Sus scrofa: one gene and its partners. The protein of the gene in region 3 binds, or shares a complex with, the protein of the main gene of each other region. Links are inferred from orthologs where the notes say so. Each region holds a gene or a part of one and is shown on either strand. Other genes may lie near its edges.

Region 1 (4,820 bases), on a different chromosome or scaffold from region 3:
ACGAGCGAGGCTGCACGGGACCCCGGGAGGAAAAAGGACCAGCACCTGGCCTCGGGGCGCCGCGGGCAGGGAAGGGTCTGAGCCCAAGGTGAGCCGGGAGCAGCGGTCTCCACGGAGACGGGTGGAGGCCAGTGCCCAGCCTCTGCCTCCGCCCCCCAGGACGCGCGAGCCCGCAGGGTCGGGGCCTCACCTCCCGCTCCAGGTAGGACTTGAGGGACTCGGTCTCGTTGAGCAAAGTGACGCTGCACTTCCCTCTGTAAGAGAAGCACGCGCGTCAGCGGCGGCGGGCAGAGCCTCCCGCCCGCCCGGGGCCTCCGGGTACCTGATGTGGGTGGCAGGCAGGGACTCCAGCTGCCTCGAGAGGAACAGCTCCCGATGCCTCAGCTGGTGCTTGAGCTTCTCGGGCAGGTCTACCATTTCCGGGTTCTCCACCTCCTCCTCTACCTCTCCTGAAGGACAGAGACACACACTCGGGCCACTGGACAAAGGCCCGCCCGCCGGCTTCACGGACACCACCCCCTGCTGGACCCAGGGGGATGGCAGGGGAGGTCCCCGCAGGGCCCCGGCAGACATGCTGGTGCCAGTGCGCCCGTTGCAGCCCAGCCACCCCACGGGGCCCAAAGCCCTGGAGCCCCGGGCATCTGAGCAGGAAGGAGCACTGCGCTTCCGCTGGCCCGGGAAGCAGCGGGCAGGAGGAGGAGAACAAGAGAGCCGGTGCTACACGTCCAGAAGGGCAGAGACCCCACGGCCTGGGCCCAAGGCCCACCGCACACCTTGCCTGGAGCCTCCCGGCCCCTCGGAGCCAAGCTGCAGAGCGCAGGCCCCTCCTCGGGCCGCCTCATGGCAGGGAACGCAGGGACGGGCATGCAGGCGGCCGGCGCACAGACGCCAGGACCCTCTGGCTGAGGGTGGCTCTTACCTTCCTCGCCGTTGTCGGCCCCCGGTCCGGTTTTATAGCAGACTGACAGGGCTATACAACAGACAGACAGCGTCCAGACGGCGGGTTAGCTGCCCACTCCCTGCCCGGCCTGGACCGAGGGCTGCAAAGCTGGGAGGCAGGGTGGACAAGGGGGCCGCAGACCACCCAGCCGAAACCAGAGAACACCTGGGCCTCTGGACAGCCCAGCCAGCCAGGCTTGGCCCCCCGCCCACCCCAACGCCCTGCTGCCTGAGACTCTGTGAGCCTGGGTGGCACCCCCTCCCTCCCTGCACATAGAACACACCTGCCCCTCAGAGCTGGGGCAGCCAGACACGCCTCAGAGCACGGACTGGGCGGGGGTGCGTCTCAGCCACCGAGGCAGGTCACCCACGCAAACTCACTGCCTGCGGCCTCAGCCACAGGGAGAGCCTGGCCACGGGAGCTGGGTGCCCTCGAGGCACAGTGGAGTCTGCGGCCGTGCAGGAGTTGAGGGGAAGCCAGACACAGCTGAACCCCATCCTCTGCCCCAAAGCCCAAAGGTGGGGGCATGGCAAGCCCTCCCCAGCCAGTCCCCAGCCCTGGGGCCCTGGGCCACCAGCCGGGCCGCAGCCCTCTGCTGCCCCCCGGAGGCGGCTTCGGGGAGTCCTCGTGCCAGTGGGCAGGGGAGCCGCACCCCCCACCCGGTGCCTGCAGCTCAGACTGGGACCAGGCCAGACACCCGAGCCCCGACATGGCTGCCACCCCCCACCCGGATCCCAGTGCATCCCCACGGAGGACACGCCCAGTGTCCGACGCCGGCCCAGCAGCCCCGCACCCTAACATGCTCGCAGCCAGCCTGGGCTGGCTCCTCTGCCGGGGGCCTGCCAGCCCAGGGCCCCTGGACACCCGCTTTAGGCCTGCAGACCCTGCCCTGTCCCACCCTGACACAGGCTCACAGTGGCTCCGAGGCCCCAGCCCACCAGGGCTCCCTGCCGTCAGCAGGTCCCAGGGCCGTGCGTACAGCCTCAGGGTGGCCAGAGCTGGGGCCAGGACAGCGTCCAGCTCCCTGACCAGGACAGCCCCGAGCCCCGTCCCCAGCAGACCTGTGAGCACGCATGGGCCGCGGCACTCGGCCTCTAAGAACCCAGGGGCAGGTGGTCCCTGGCACAAAAGCCCCTCCCTCTGGAATCTGGCGTGCCCTGGCCCTGGGCTCAGAGCTGGGGGCCCACCCCCAAGGCGCAGGCAGACTCTGCTCCCACCCGCCCAGCAGGGCTGACACCCTGCTGACTCTCCCAGGCCCTGCAGCTCACCCCAGGGGGTCCGGGGGGCTGCAATCTGTGCCGCTGCTCCCTCGGGCAAGGTCTCACTCTCAGGACAACAGCTCTGTGTGCGTGGCGGGGAGACACACTTCGAGCAGGGGCCGTGGGGAGCACACTGGCCTGGACACCCTAGTAAGGGCTTCTCCAGGGCAACTGCTCTGGGGCTGGACACCCTGGCAGGGGAAGGACGGGGGCTGCGGGCCCAGACGAGACTGGAGCAGCCGCTCTGACCTCGCAGGGGGCATCCCCCCACCCCAGCAGACGCTGGCAGGGGGCTGATGAGCTCGCGGTTCCTGCAGAAATCACTGCGGGACAGGGCGGCCCGAACGGACACGGCTCCGAGAACACAGGGCCTATGCTGGGCCGGGCAAGCCGGCCACCTCCCCAGAGCGGCACGTGCCACGTGCACGACACATGTCCCCACCGCGTGGCCTTCGGTCCCTGGCGAGGGACGTCACATGCGCACGGGAGCCCCACCAGCGCCTGGGGGCCTCTGCCGCCAACTCAGCGCTTCTGGAGAAGCTGCTGCTCCTGCGGTCTCCCCGGCCACGCTCCCCCCAGAGCCCTGCTGGCTCCTGGCTGAGCTCCGGCGCCTGAGAGCACAGAGCTGGCCCCAGACACAGGGAAGGAGGCCCATGGTCATCCTCACCCCAAGTCGCCAGCAGGTCCGTGGCCCTGCAGTCCCGCCCCAGGGCCACCGCCAGGGTTCTGACAGCAAGAACATGAGCCAACACGGGTCACCTGCAGGGCGGGGCCCGCGCCCACACGGACCGCGCCTCTGGGATGCGCAGCACTGTACCCCAAGGGACCTGGCTCTTTGCCTCGGCACCAGAGGCCACCAAGCGGCCACTGGGTCCCACCTCTAAGGTGGCCGCTCTGGGCACAGCATCATGGTCCACCAGTGGACACAGAGTCACGCGTACCACGGGGACGCCGCTGATGCAGCGGGCCGCACAAGCGCACACAGGCCAAAACCCCAAGGTGGGAGGCCTCACGGGGAACCCATCCTCCCGGGGGGCCAGACGGGGTCAGCAGAGAAGTGACTGCTCCCTGGACCGGACGCACACACCCCGTGGACCCCGCCGTGGCGCAGGGCAGCACCAGCCAAGGATTTGAGAAGGCCCCCAAATCCATCTTGAAGCGAGAAACTTCTCAGGGGACTGATGCCAGCAGTGCCCCCAAGCGCGCACAGCCGGTGACTTCCGGGGGACGGGCGGGCCGGCACTCACTGGCATGCTTGTCGGCCAGGGCGACGAGGGAGCTGGAGATGTCCCGCCTCCGGTAGAAGCACACCACCTTGGCCTCCACGTTCCCGCTGGCCGTCTGCAAGAGCAAGGCAGGGTCTGAGCGCCGCCCGCCCCCGGGCTCCGCTCCAGCAGGGCCGCTGCGGCAGGGCCTCGCGGGTGGGGGAGGCACACGGGACCTAAGCCCGCCCTGCGCCCACCTCCGTCCGGTGCCCCCTGTGGACACCAGGGGAACCCCGGGCCACCAGAAAGGACGCCTGTGACGAGGCTTTGGCCAGAGCCGGCTCTGCCCTGGCCCAGGGGCCGCCCTGCAACCTGGATCCACAACCCCGATGGCAGGCAGCCTGGCACAGGACAGGGCAGATGTCCAGACACTGGAGGGGTTGCCCGGAGTGTGAGAAGGATGGAGACCGAGAGGCAGCAGGGCCACTGAGCAAGCCTGCGGGGAAGACCCCCCGCGGGGAAGACCCTCCGGGGCAAGCACGTCTGCTCTCCTTTGCCCTTAGCTTATCGCAGGGGCTCTTTTCGGTTTACTGCGTGAAGGAGTCCCACAGGTCCAAGTGGAACGCAGACCCCAACGGGTGTGCCTTCTACAGGCTATGGGGTCCTAAACGCCTGGCAAGGGGCAGAAGGGAAACTCTCTTCGCTGCCAGGAAACCCTCACCCGAGCGTCAGTGAGCCGGAAGCACGGAACCCCCAGGAACCCCCAGCGGGTCGTCCCGGCCAGCCCAGCCCCTCGGGGCCCAGCACGCATCCCTGGCTGGTCACCCTGTACTGAATGACCTCTCCAAACTCTGGAGGCTCATCACAGAACCTCTGGGGGCGAATTTCCCCTCGGATGCCTCCCCTAGTCCCCTGCCTCGTGACAGTCAGCGACCCCAGGGAAGAGAAGGCTCCCCTGCCGTTTCTTCTCTGCTAAGTCAACCCTCGGGGCGGCAGGAAGCGGGTCATCAGCAAAGGCTGGAAGAGCAGAGGGCAGACGGATGCAGGCGCTGACTCCTCTCTGGGGGCAGGAAGGCGGGCGAGGGGGGCGCTGGCCAGTGGCCCAGTGACTGGGGCCAATTGCATCTTTTTTTTTTGTTTTTTTTAAGGGCTGCACATGGAGGTTCCCAGGGTAGGGGTCGACATGGAGCTGCAGCTGCCGGCCTGCACCATAGCCACAGCCACGCCAGAGCCGAGTCATGTCTGCCACCTACACCACAGCTCATGGCAACACCGGATCCTTAACCCACTGAGCAAGGCCAGGGATCGACCCTGCACCTTCATGGATGCTAGTCAGATTCGTTAACTGCTGAGCCACAGCGGGAACTCCCAATTGTGTCTCTTTTAAACTAACCAGTGTTACGAAGTTTTTAATAA
Region 2 (4,645 bases), on a different chromosome or scaffold from region 3:
CCGATCCTTGACAGCCGGCAGTTTCCTTGCTGTGTGGTGGTGGGCAGGCTGTACCCTCCCTTCGAGAGGCAGTAGAGACCACGAGACTGTATCCGCAACCCCCTATTTACCTGGTGAATAAAGGCGGATCCTTCATCTCCAGGATACCCTGGCTGTCCCTAAGCTCTCAACCTCCTCGGGCTGTTACTCTTTTCCTCTGCTGTCGGTCTTCTCCCAGAAAGTGTGTTCTGCGACGGCTTCCCAGCCCTGGCCGGGAGCCCTAACCACACCGGACACCTTTTGGACTTCAGGGGGGCCACAGCCAGATGGCCTTTATTCCGCGACAGCGGGCTGCATGGAGTGTATTCATCAGGCGCCAGAGCCACCGGCCCACTTCAAGGCATGCGGCAGAAACTACTACGGTGGCAACTGAGTAAAGACATTGGAGGGTGCTGGCCTCCTCCAGACTGTTACAGTGGTCAATTCCTCCCAAACTCCGGAGGTGCTGCTCAGGCCAGGGAGAGTAAGGGAGCTGGGGACACCCTTGGGACAGGGACGAGATGGAGGGGCCTCTCAACTGGGCTAGGCAACTCTTGCTGTTGTTGACCAACCCACAACTTTGGACTGTGTAAAGAGGACCTAAGGTAAACATCTCCAGGTCTTTAGCCTTGAGCAAGTCACAAATGCTGAGGTTGTTTCTCATCTCTAAAGAAAGTGCTCAAGGAGCACACAATAGATTTAATTTGTTGTTCTCTCTCCTGAGGTGCTCCTCCTGTCGGGACTAGCTCAGGCGTCTCATCTGTCTCCCAAACCTAAAAAGGGAGGAAATGGCACTAGAGTGGACCCCAATATCAAAGCAGTTGCTGGCCTTGGAGATCTTGCAACAGCAGTCTGTGCGAATACACCAGCATTAGGTGGTATGACCCTACATCACCCCCCGAGGTGGACTACATCTTGCTCCAACCTCGCAACTCCCAGAATTCCCCAAGTAAAAGGGAGAGAGGAGTTTAAAAGTTGGGAAATAAAGAAGCACCTTCACACACTCACACTCCTATGGAAGCCACCAGTCATTCTGAGAACCAGCTCATCTCAACGGGTTTGAGTGAATCTCAGCCAAGATGATACTCTGGCTCCAGTACCACAGAGAGCTGGGGAGCAGTGTGGGTCCCACAGGAAAGCAAGATGGAACAGGCCACCTGTCCCAGGCTGTGTATCTCATAAAGCTCTACCCCAGGCAAGCCCCCATCTATACCTCCTCTATTGTCCTTTGTCCTTTATTTTCCCAAAGATACCACACACACACACACACACACACACACACACACACACACACACAGCAGAGAATAGCTGAGCCAGGAGGAGCTGAAGAAAACAGCTTTTTATTTGTTACTATAAGAACCAATTACAGAATCCGAGGTTAAAAAAACGGACAAAAGATCTTTATTTCTGAGAATTGGCGTACAAAAGGCAGAGGGGGCAAGGAGAGGGAAGGAAAGAGCGAGCATAGGCTGGGGTTGATACCAGCTTAGGGGCCTCAAACTCCGATTGGGAAAGTCCGGACACCGGACAGGAAGAGGAACCCCCAGTTAGAAAAAAGGAGAAAAAAAAGATAGACATGGCAGTAATGGCAGTGCACGCCCCCCTCCCCCAACCAGATACCACCTGATATCTGCTTACTCTTCCCCTCTCCCATCCCCTTTCACAAAGGGAGGCAAAATTTTTAAAAAATTAAAAAACCCTCCCCCCAAAAACTATCCAAGACAACTGTGGGCCCTACCCCCAAAACAGGCTAGGTTCCCACAATGGGCCAAGTTCCTGCAGTTTGCCCTCCATCACCAGGCATGGAGAAGCACCGGAAGGGGACAAGCCTCCAAGTAGTAACACCAGAGGGCGCCCATCCCCTCCAAGGACACACTCACTTGCTCCCTCCCTCCCGCACTCCTCATTCCCTTTGACACTAGAGGGAAGGGAGGCTAGGTGCCCGGTGCACCCACCCTCTAGCTTTCAGCCCTCCTCCCTGCCCCACAGATGCTCAGTCTTCCAGGACAATGGGCTCATTGGTGCTGGCAGGATGTGCGGATGGAGGAAGAGAGACTGGAGCCCGCACTGTAATCAGCGGTGGCTTCACCTTCAGAGGCAAGTTGGGCCGGCGGGCAGCTCGCCGCATCTCCAGGTGGGTCAGAGCCTTCCGCAGGGCTCTGGTCAGGAAGGAAAGGGGGACAAGGGAGAAGGCAAAGACCTTCAGGCTGAAACCCCACATTCCACACTGCAATCCCCCATCTCCAGCCCCTTCCTTCCTAGCACGGCCACCCTGCAGCCAGGGTCTCCCTGGAGTTGGTCTTGCTCAGATACTCCTATTTCCCACACCCACCAGGCTGGGTGGTCAACCTCTCAGCCCCTCCCATGCTGGGCTCCCCACCTGGTGTCTTTTGTGGCCACAAACACCACAGGATTGGGGGCGTCAGCTGGGTTTAGTTTCTGACGCTTGGTTGCTGGCTGTGAGCTTGAGCGAATCCCTGAAGCCAGAGGCCTTCCATTGGCAGAGAAGGGGACTCCTGCCATCTGGAAAAGGGTAGGGCAGCGTAATGAGAAGGGGGACTCTCAGACGCCCATCAGAAATAAACACCCATCTAACTCAACGTGACCCACTCCAGTCTGTCAACTCACAGTCTCATAGGCCCGTTTCACCATAATGCTCCCCAGCCCCCGATTCTGGGTCAGCTGGTTCCTATTGATTGGTGTCTTGGTACCCCGAGGTGTTTTTGGTTTCAGAGGTGCCTGGGCCACTGTCAGGGAAAAACAAATAGATAAATAAAGGAAACCTGAGAGAACTTTCACACTCCCTCTTTTCTATGCATCTTCCCTGGGCATTCCTAAAAGGAGTGATGGGGGAGGGGGCTGGCAAGCGATTACCAGCATTTCAAAAGTCAAACATGAGTGTGATCTTATCAATCAGTGCACAGTTTACTGAATAGCTTATGATAAAAACTTTTTTTTTTTTGGATGCACCCATGGCATTTAGAAATTCTCAATACAGGGAGTTCCCGTCGTGGCGCAGTGGTTAACGAATCCGACTAGGAACCATGAGGTTGCGGGTTCGGTCCCTGCCCTTGCTCAGTGGGTTAACGATCCAGCGTTGCCGTGGGCTGTGGTGTAGGTCGCAGACGCGGCTCGGATCCCGCGTTGCTGTGGCTCTGGTGTAGGCCGGTGGCTACAGCTCCGATTCAACCCCTAGCCTGGGAACCTCCATATGCCGTGGGAGTGGCCCAAGAAATAGCAACAACAACAACAACAACAAAAAAAAAAAAAAAAAAAAAAAAAAAGAAATTCTCAATACAGGTATCAAACCCAAGCCAAAGCAGTGACCAGAGCCACAGCAGTGACAATGCCAGTGACCCGCCAGGAAACTCCATGAAAAAAAAAAAAAAAAACACTTCAGGAGTTCTCATTGTGGCTCAGCAGTAAAGAGCCCGACTAACATCCATGAGGACATAGGTTCGATCCCTGGCCTTGCTCAGTAGGTTAAGGATCCGGCGTTGCCGTGAGCTGTGGTGTGGGTCGCAGACGCAGCTCGGATCCCGCGTTGCTGTGGCTGCGGCATCGGCCGGCAGCTATAGCTCTGATTAGACCCCTAGTCTGGGAACCTCCATATGCCGTAGGGGAAGAGATAGGTCTTGATAATAAAAGGACTGAAAGGCAGCCACCACCCTAAGAGCCTCCCCATCCTATACCACCTGTACCGCAGTCCAGTTCCCCATCCCTTACCCAAATCTTTCACAATAGTTGCCAGGGGAAGTCGCACCAGAGGGTGAATCTTCAGTGGAGTCTTGGCGGCCTTAGGAAGTCGAATGGAGCCTGGAGAACAAAGACAAAAGCTTTTGAAGGGACTTCACTATTCAGGCCTCTTCTGGGGCCAGGAACTGTGTCCAAGTTCCCAACAAATCCTTATGGGCCACTATTCCTACTGTCAGTAAATATCCAGAGGAACGCCCTCCGGCCAGAACAAACCCTGAAGCTGCCCTTACACTCTGCCTTGATGGCATTGGCATTGATAGGGGCATAGGGTCGTCGGGCAGCCCTCCTCGGCTGTAACAGGTCCCTGCACATGCGTCTGGCAAGACGGGTCAGCTTCGTGGTCTGGAGCAGGAATGTTTGCCTGTTCTTGGCCAGCAGCTTGGCCCGGTTGGCGCTAGTCGTATAGGGAGAGAGACTTTGGGCTTCAGGTCTGGACAAATGACCTCTCGAGTGTGGCTCCTGGAAGAAGGACATAGAAAAAGGAGAAAACACAGACTGACACCCAGGCTCCCTTCTATTCTCTGCAGAGGGCCTTTTATTCCTGCCGGATCACTTTGCGGTTGTGCCAACCTACCTGGCTCCCCAACCACTAGCAAGTACCATCCACCCCCACCCCAACCAAAGCATCACCTTACTGGAGCTGGGCGTTCTGGCCTTTGCCCAAAGCTCACATTGATAAGCTTATGGTTTTCTCCCACCTGTCCCCCATCCGTCCTTACTGTGGTGCCCCGAGCAGCCCCCTCAAGCTGGGTTGGGGTCTTCAGTCCCCCGTATTTCTTCCAGTAGATCCAACAGGAAGCACAGAGGCGGCACTGCATGTTGGGTGGGCCCCAGGCATACCACTGGGCAGACTGTGTGGCTGCAGGAGCAT
Region 3 (4,820 bases):
GTGGGCAGGAGCAGCTGTTACCCACCGACTTTTGTCCATGGAGAAGCCACACCCTAGTCACCAGCTTTGAGCCATGAACCTGGCTCAGCCCCACCATCCAGCAGCATTTTTTGCACCAAGCCCCCAGGACCATCACCAACCTTCATCACAGAGATGGCCTTGGGATTAGATAACTGTCAATACCTCCATCTTCCACATTAGACTATGAGGGTCTCGAGAACAAGAGCTGGACCCTCATGCCTAGCACAGAGCCTGATGTATGACAGATGCGAAAGGATGAAGGAACAACCAGTGCGCAGACGAACAAGGCTCTGAGACTGGACAGCTCTGCCTCTGACTGCCCCAAAAGCAATGCTGCAAGTGCAACTTCAGGATCCAGCTGGGGACCCTCTCAGCTACGCCCCCTGCGGGGCTCCTCCTGAACCAACCTCCAGGAGACGCTGGGCTACAGAAGCGAGGGGCAAGGGGCGAAGGGCGAGGGCCTATCATCCCAGCCAGGACAGGAAGCTCCAGGAGGAGCAGGCCAGAAGCAGCAGGTGATGGGCAGGCCTCTGGTGCTCATCACCCACATACCTTAAGCATCTTGAACTTGAACCAGACAGCAGGTCCCCTTGGCCGCGTAAGGCTAGGGCCCAGAGGAGTGACTTTTGACACTCAATCCACATGAGGATGGCATTGGGCCCTGAGGGCTGCTGGCAGGTTGTGCCCTCAGCTGGCAGGGGGCTGGATGGCCTTGCAGGGGTGAGGTGGGGCAGGGGCGGCTCACCTGGGAGAAGATGAGCACACGGTGCCCTTCGTCCCGCAGCTTCTTGAGCATCTTCTGCAGCAGCATCAGCTTCCCTGAAGACTTGACCAGCGAGCTGCCATCATAGGAGCCGTTGGGCAGGACGGGGGCCTCCTGCGGACACGGCAGGAGGTGGGGCTTTTGGGGCTCCCCTCTCCTCTCTGGCTCTGCACCAAAGAGGCCCCAGGGGCTGGACAAGCGCCCAGCAACAGGCTGAGCACCAAGCCCAAGCCTCTCCCAGCCCCAGGTTCCCAGGAGGGCTCAGACTTGCCAGCCCTGCCCTCCATCGCCCCCTGCTGGCACCCCACCAAGACCACCGACATCAGTGACAGATAGATGACAGTCTGGAGCCAAGTGGCCTTCCCAGCAGGAATCTGGCCTGGCCTCTGCAGTCACTGTAGGGCACAGCCGGGCAAAGCCAACCTGGACCCCAGCTGGGCAGAACCTCAGCCCAAAGGCTGCTGCCCGGCCAGGGTCACGAGAGTGGCCTGGAGTTGCCCAAGTGTGGACCACCTGCAGCACGGCCTCCACACCTACCTCTGCACATTGATCTGTTTTTTGGGGGGCAGGGGGAGGCCTGGGGGTGGTGGAGGGAGGTACAGAAAATGAAGGGTTGAAGTTAGAACCAGAACAGCAGTGACTGCGCCCTCTCCTTAAAGCGCCTTATATGAACTTCCTCGCCTGGTCCTCAGCCCTTGCAGGTGGATGCCGTTAGGGTCCCCGTTTTACAGACAAAAAACCTGGGGCTCTGAGAGGACCAGTGATTGTCCTGATACCACAGGGCTGGAGCTGAGGGTCTGGTCTCTCACCCAGGGCTGCACGTCAGCGTCACCCGGGGGCCCCACCCAACCCCTCCCGACTCCCTTGGCAACTGAGTTCGGCCACGTCAGCCCTTGGAATCCCTGACACTGAGGCTGGAGGGGACCCGGTGACCCAAAGCCCCCATTACTTTGTAGGCACAAGGAGGCGCCGAGGGAAGGAGAGGGCCTGCCTGAGCAGAAACTTCTGGCACCGTGGGGAGCCACATCACTTCCAAGTCCTCATATTTGGGGAGGATTGGGGGCTGAAGGCCTGAGCACCAGCCACAGCAGCCAGGAGCACCATGGCAGCCAATGCCACCTGCAGGAAGGGCCCAGAAAAGCCACCACAGCAGCCACAAGCCCCTCCACGGTCTCAGGCCCCTGCCATGGGGGACTCGGCCAAGGGCAGCCATCACGGTGGCCACGGCAGCAGCCACGGGGACCTACCACAGCGGCCACGGGGAAGAGGTAGGGGTGGTTGCAACACTTCTTCAGGTCCATCATGATGTTGAGCAGCGACACCTGGTTCCCGCCCCCCTTGGAGTTCAGCGCCTCGAAGTTTCGCGTGAGGATGAACTTGTAGTACTTCCTGTGGCAGAGGAAGGAGAGCCGGGCTGGACACCTGGCCGCACCTGCCTCCACGAGGGCGCTCTGCTCCATGGGGAGGCAGGGGCTGGTGGCCGAGCGCCCAGCTCCAGACAGACGCGGGGAGCCCCGAGAGGTGAAGCTGCGGGCCTGGCCCAGCGAGGTACTGTGGGACCACGCGAGGACTGGGGTGGCCCCAAGCCTGGTCCCTGGACCTTGACCAGAGGTCCCCAAGAAGGAAGCAGAAGTGAAAGGTGGAGTTCCCGTCGTGGCGCAGTGGTTAATGAATCCGACTAGGAACCATGAGATGGCGGGTTCGGTCCCTGCCCTTGCTCAGTGGGTTAAGGATCCGGCGTTGCCATGAGCTGTGGTGTAGGTCACAGACACGGCTCGGATCCTGCATTGCTGTGGCTGTGGTGTAGGCCGGCAGTTGCAGCTCCGATTCGACCCCTAGCCTGGGAACCTCCATATGCCGCAGGAGTGGCCCAAGAAATAGCAAAAAGACGAAAAAAAAAAAAGTGAAAGGTGACATGAGGTCTCTGTGGGTCCCAAAGGCCCTCCCACCCACCCTGGGCAGCGGCCCAGGAAGGCCAGGTCAGGCCCCTCCAGGAGGGGAGACAGCCGGGGGACCCCGGGGCAGGCTGCTCACTTCTGCATCTGGCTCAGCTCCACGCGGACGATCAGCTCCGTCTTGGCCGGCATGTTCTTGAACACGTCAGCCTTGAGCCGCCTCAGCATGTGCGGGCCCAGCAGGTCATGCAGCTTCTTGATCTGGTCTTCCTTGGAGATGTCGGCAAACTCCTCCAGGAAGCCCTCCAGGTTGCTGCCAGAAAGAGCTGGGATGAGAGCCCGGGAACCGGCCAACGCCCTCTGTAGAGGGAGCCAGGTCCCTACCACCTGCCAGAGGGTCACAGGAGCAGCCAACTGGCTGGTGGGCCAAGAAGCCCTGGCCCTGCCCCAGGTGTTCTTTCAGTCTCAGCCTGTGTCACCCCCACATATCACAGCTGTCTCAGGATACCTGCCCGGCCTCAGAGCTGTCCTGGACATGTGTCTGTGGGACTCCTGCCCAGATCACAGATAAAGAAACTGAGGCTCATGGGAGCCCAAGTTCCTCAGTGCAACCTGCCCTCTAACCTACATCTCCTGAGGCCAAAATCAGCACTCTCCACCCTGAATCCCGCCCCCCTTTCTTTTTCTGTCTTCCTTTCTTGCTTGCTTGCTTTCTTCCGTGTCTTTTAGGGCTGCACCCGCGGCATATGGAGGTTCCCAGGCTAGGGGTCCAATCAGAGCTACAGCTGCCGGCCTATGTCACAGCCACAGCAATGCAGGATCTGAGCCGCATCTGCAATCTACACCACAGCTCACAGCAACACCAGATCTTTAATCCACTGAGCGAGGCCAGGGATCAAACCTGCATCTTCATGGATACTAGTCAGGTTCATTACCACTAAGCAACAGAGGGAACTCCCATCTTTTTCTCCTTTTTAGGGCCGCATCTGCAGCAGCATATGGAAGTTCAAGGCGAGGTGTCGAATCAGAACTGCAGCTGCTGGCCTACACCGCAGCCACAGCAACGCCCGATCTGAGCCGCATCTGTGACCTACACGGCAGCTCGCAGCAATGCCAGATCCTTAACCCATGGAGTGAAGCCAGGGTTGGAACCCACGTCGTCACAGACACTGCATCGGGGTCTTAACCCGCTGTGCCACAATGCTCACTCCCTGAATCCCCTCTCTGAGCAGGAAAATGGGGGGAGGAAAGGACAGGCAGCCGGGGGCTCTGACTTCACCCCCAGCCCCACCACCTCCACCCCAGCTTCAGCCTCCATCACCGTCGCCCATGTGGTAACTTAGGCCACTGTGGGGGGAAAGGAAGGAGCCAGGGATGTGGGGGCAGGGAAGGAACCCAGGAGGACCCTAGGGTCTTCTGGGGACAGAGCCGAGGAGAAATCACAGCGTTAGCAGCAGGCGACAATTCCCAGGCATGAGGCACCAGCCAATGTGAAGCCCCCTCCCGTCTAGATCATTTGAGGTGGGCGCTGCTGCCGTCTCATTTTACAGACGAGGAGACTGAGGCCCGGCGAGCAGCCCCAGAGCCAGGACGGGCACTGACCCCCCTTCCCTGGCTGCCCCCCGCCTCGTCTCCCCAGCCGGCCCCCCAGGCTCACTTGAACCTCTCCGGCGTCAGGAAGTTGAGAAGATGGAACAGCTCCTCCAGGTTGTTCTGAAGGGGGGTCCCCGTCAGCAGCAGCTTGTAATCGATCTTGTAGCTGTTCAGGACCCTAAAGAACTTGGGGGTGACAGAGAGACGTGAGGGGGCTGGGCGGCCGGCCGCCCCAGCGGCTCCGGGGGCCAGCGGTCAGCGCCTCCTACCTTGGACTGGTTGTTCTTGAGCCGGTGGGCCTCATCCACCACGAGGCAGGCCCACTCGATGGAGCCCAGGATGGCCTGGTCAATGGTGATGAGCTCGTAGGAGGTGAGCAGGACGTGGAACTTGATCTGCACTTCTTTCTGGAAGGAAGGGGGGGCATGGGGGAGGACCGCTGGGAGGGCAGCCGATCGAGGTCTCCAGAGACAACGGGGCGAGGAGCAGGGGGCACAGGACCCCCCACCGGGAAGGACAGAGGGCGAGACATGGGCCATCAGGCACAG

What was found.
Region 1: CHD5 (region 3) and MTA1 share a complex: the UniProt entries of both Homo sapiens proteins name them as parts of the nucleosome remodeling and deacetylase (NuRD) repressor complex. The link is inferred for Sus scrofa from reciprocal best matches to the Homo sapiens genes CHD5 and MTA1.
Region 2: CHD5 (region 3) and MTA2 share a complex: the UniProt entries of both Homo sapiens proteins name them as parts of the nucleosome remodeling and deacetylase (NuRD) repressor complex. The link is inferred for Sus scrofa from reciprocal best matches to the Homo sapiens genes CHD5 and MTA2.

What each region holds. Positions count from the first base shown.
Region 1 is NW_018084979.1:3,477,559-3,482,378, reverse strand, and holds part of MTA1 (metastasis-associated protein MTA1), read right to left. Parts: intron 3,541-4,820; coding exon 3,447-3,540; intron 2,282-3,446; coding exon of another isoform or gene 2,209-2,281; intron 971-2,208; coding exon 920-970; intron 450-919; coding exon 323-449; intron 255-322; coding exon 191-254; intron 1-190. UniProt on the Homo sapiens protein: Transcriptional coregulator which can act as both a transcriptional corepressor and coactivator. Acts as a component of the histone deacetylase NuRD complex which participates in the remodeling of chromatin.
Region 2 is NC_010444.4:9,143,660-9,148,304, reverse strand, and holds the end of MTA2 (metastasis-associated protein MTA2), read right to left. Parts: intron 4,634-4,645; coding exon 4,494-4,633; intron 4,234-4,493; coding exon 4,005-4,233; intron 3,835-4,004; coding exon 3,745-3,834; intron 2,766-3,744; coding exon 2,647-2,765; intron 2,542-2,646; coding exon 2,399-2,541; intron 2,178-2,398; coding exon 2,012-2,177; 3' UTR 1,339-2,011; downstream 1-1,338. UniProt on the Homo sapiens protein: May function as a transcriptional coregulator. Acts as a component of the histone deacetylase NuRD complex which participates in the remodeling of chromatin.
Region 3 is NC_010448.4:67,048,101-67,052,920, forward strand, and holds part of CHD5 (chromodomain-helicase-DNA-binding protein 5), read right to left. Parts: intron 4,680-4,820; coding exon 4,542-4,679; intron 4,459-4,541; coding exon 4,337-4,458; intron 2,993-4,336; coding exon 2,819-2,992; intron 2,174-2,818; coding exon 2,032-2,173; intron 899-2,031; coding exon 767-898; intron 1-766. UniProt on the Homo sapiens protein: ATP-dependent chromatin-remodeling factor that binds DNA through histones and regulates gene transcription. May specifically recognize and bind trimethylated 'Lys-27' (H3K27me3) and non-methylated 'Lys-4' of histone H3.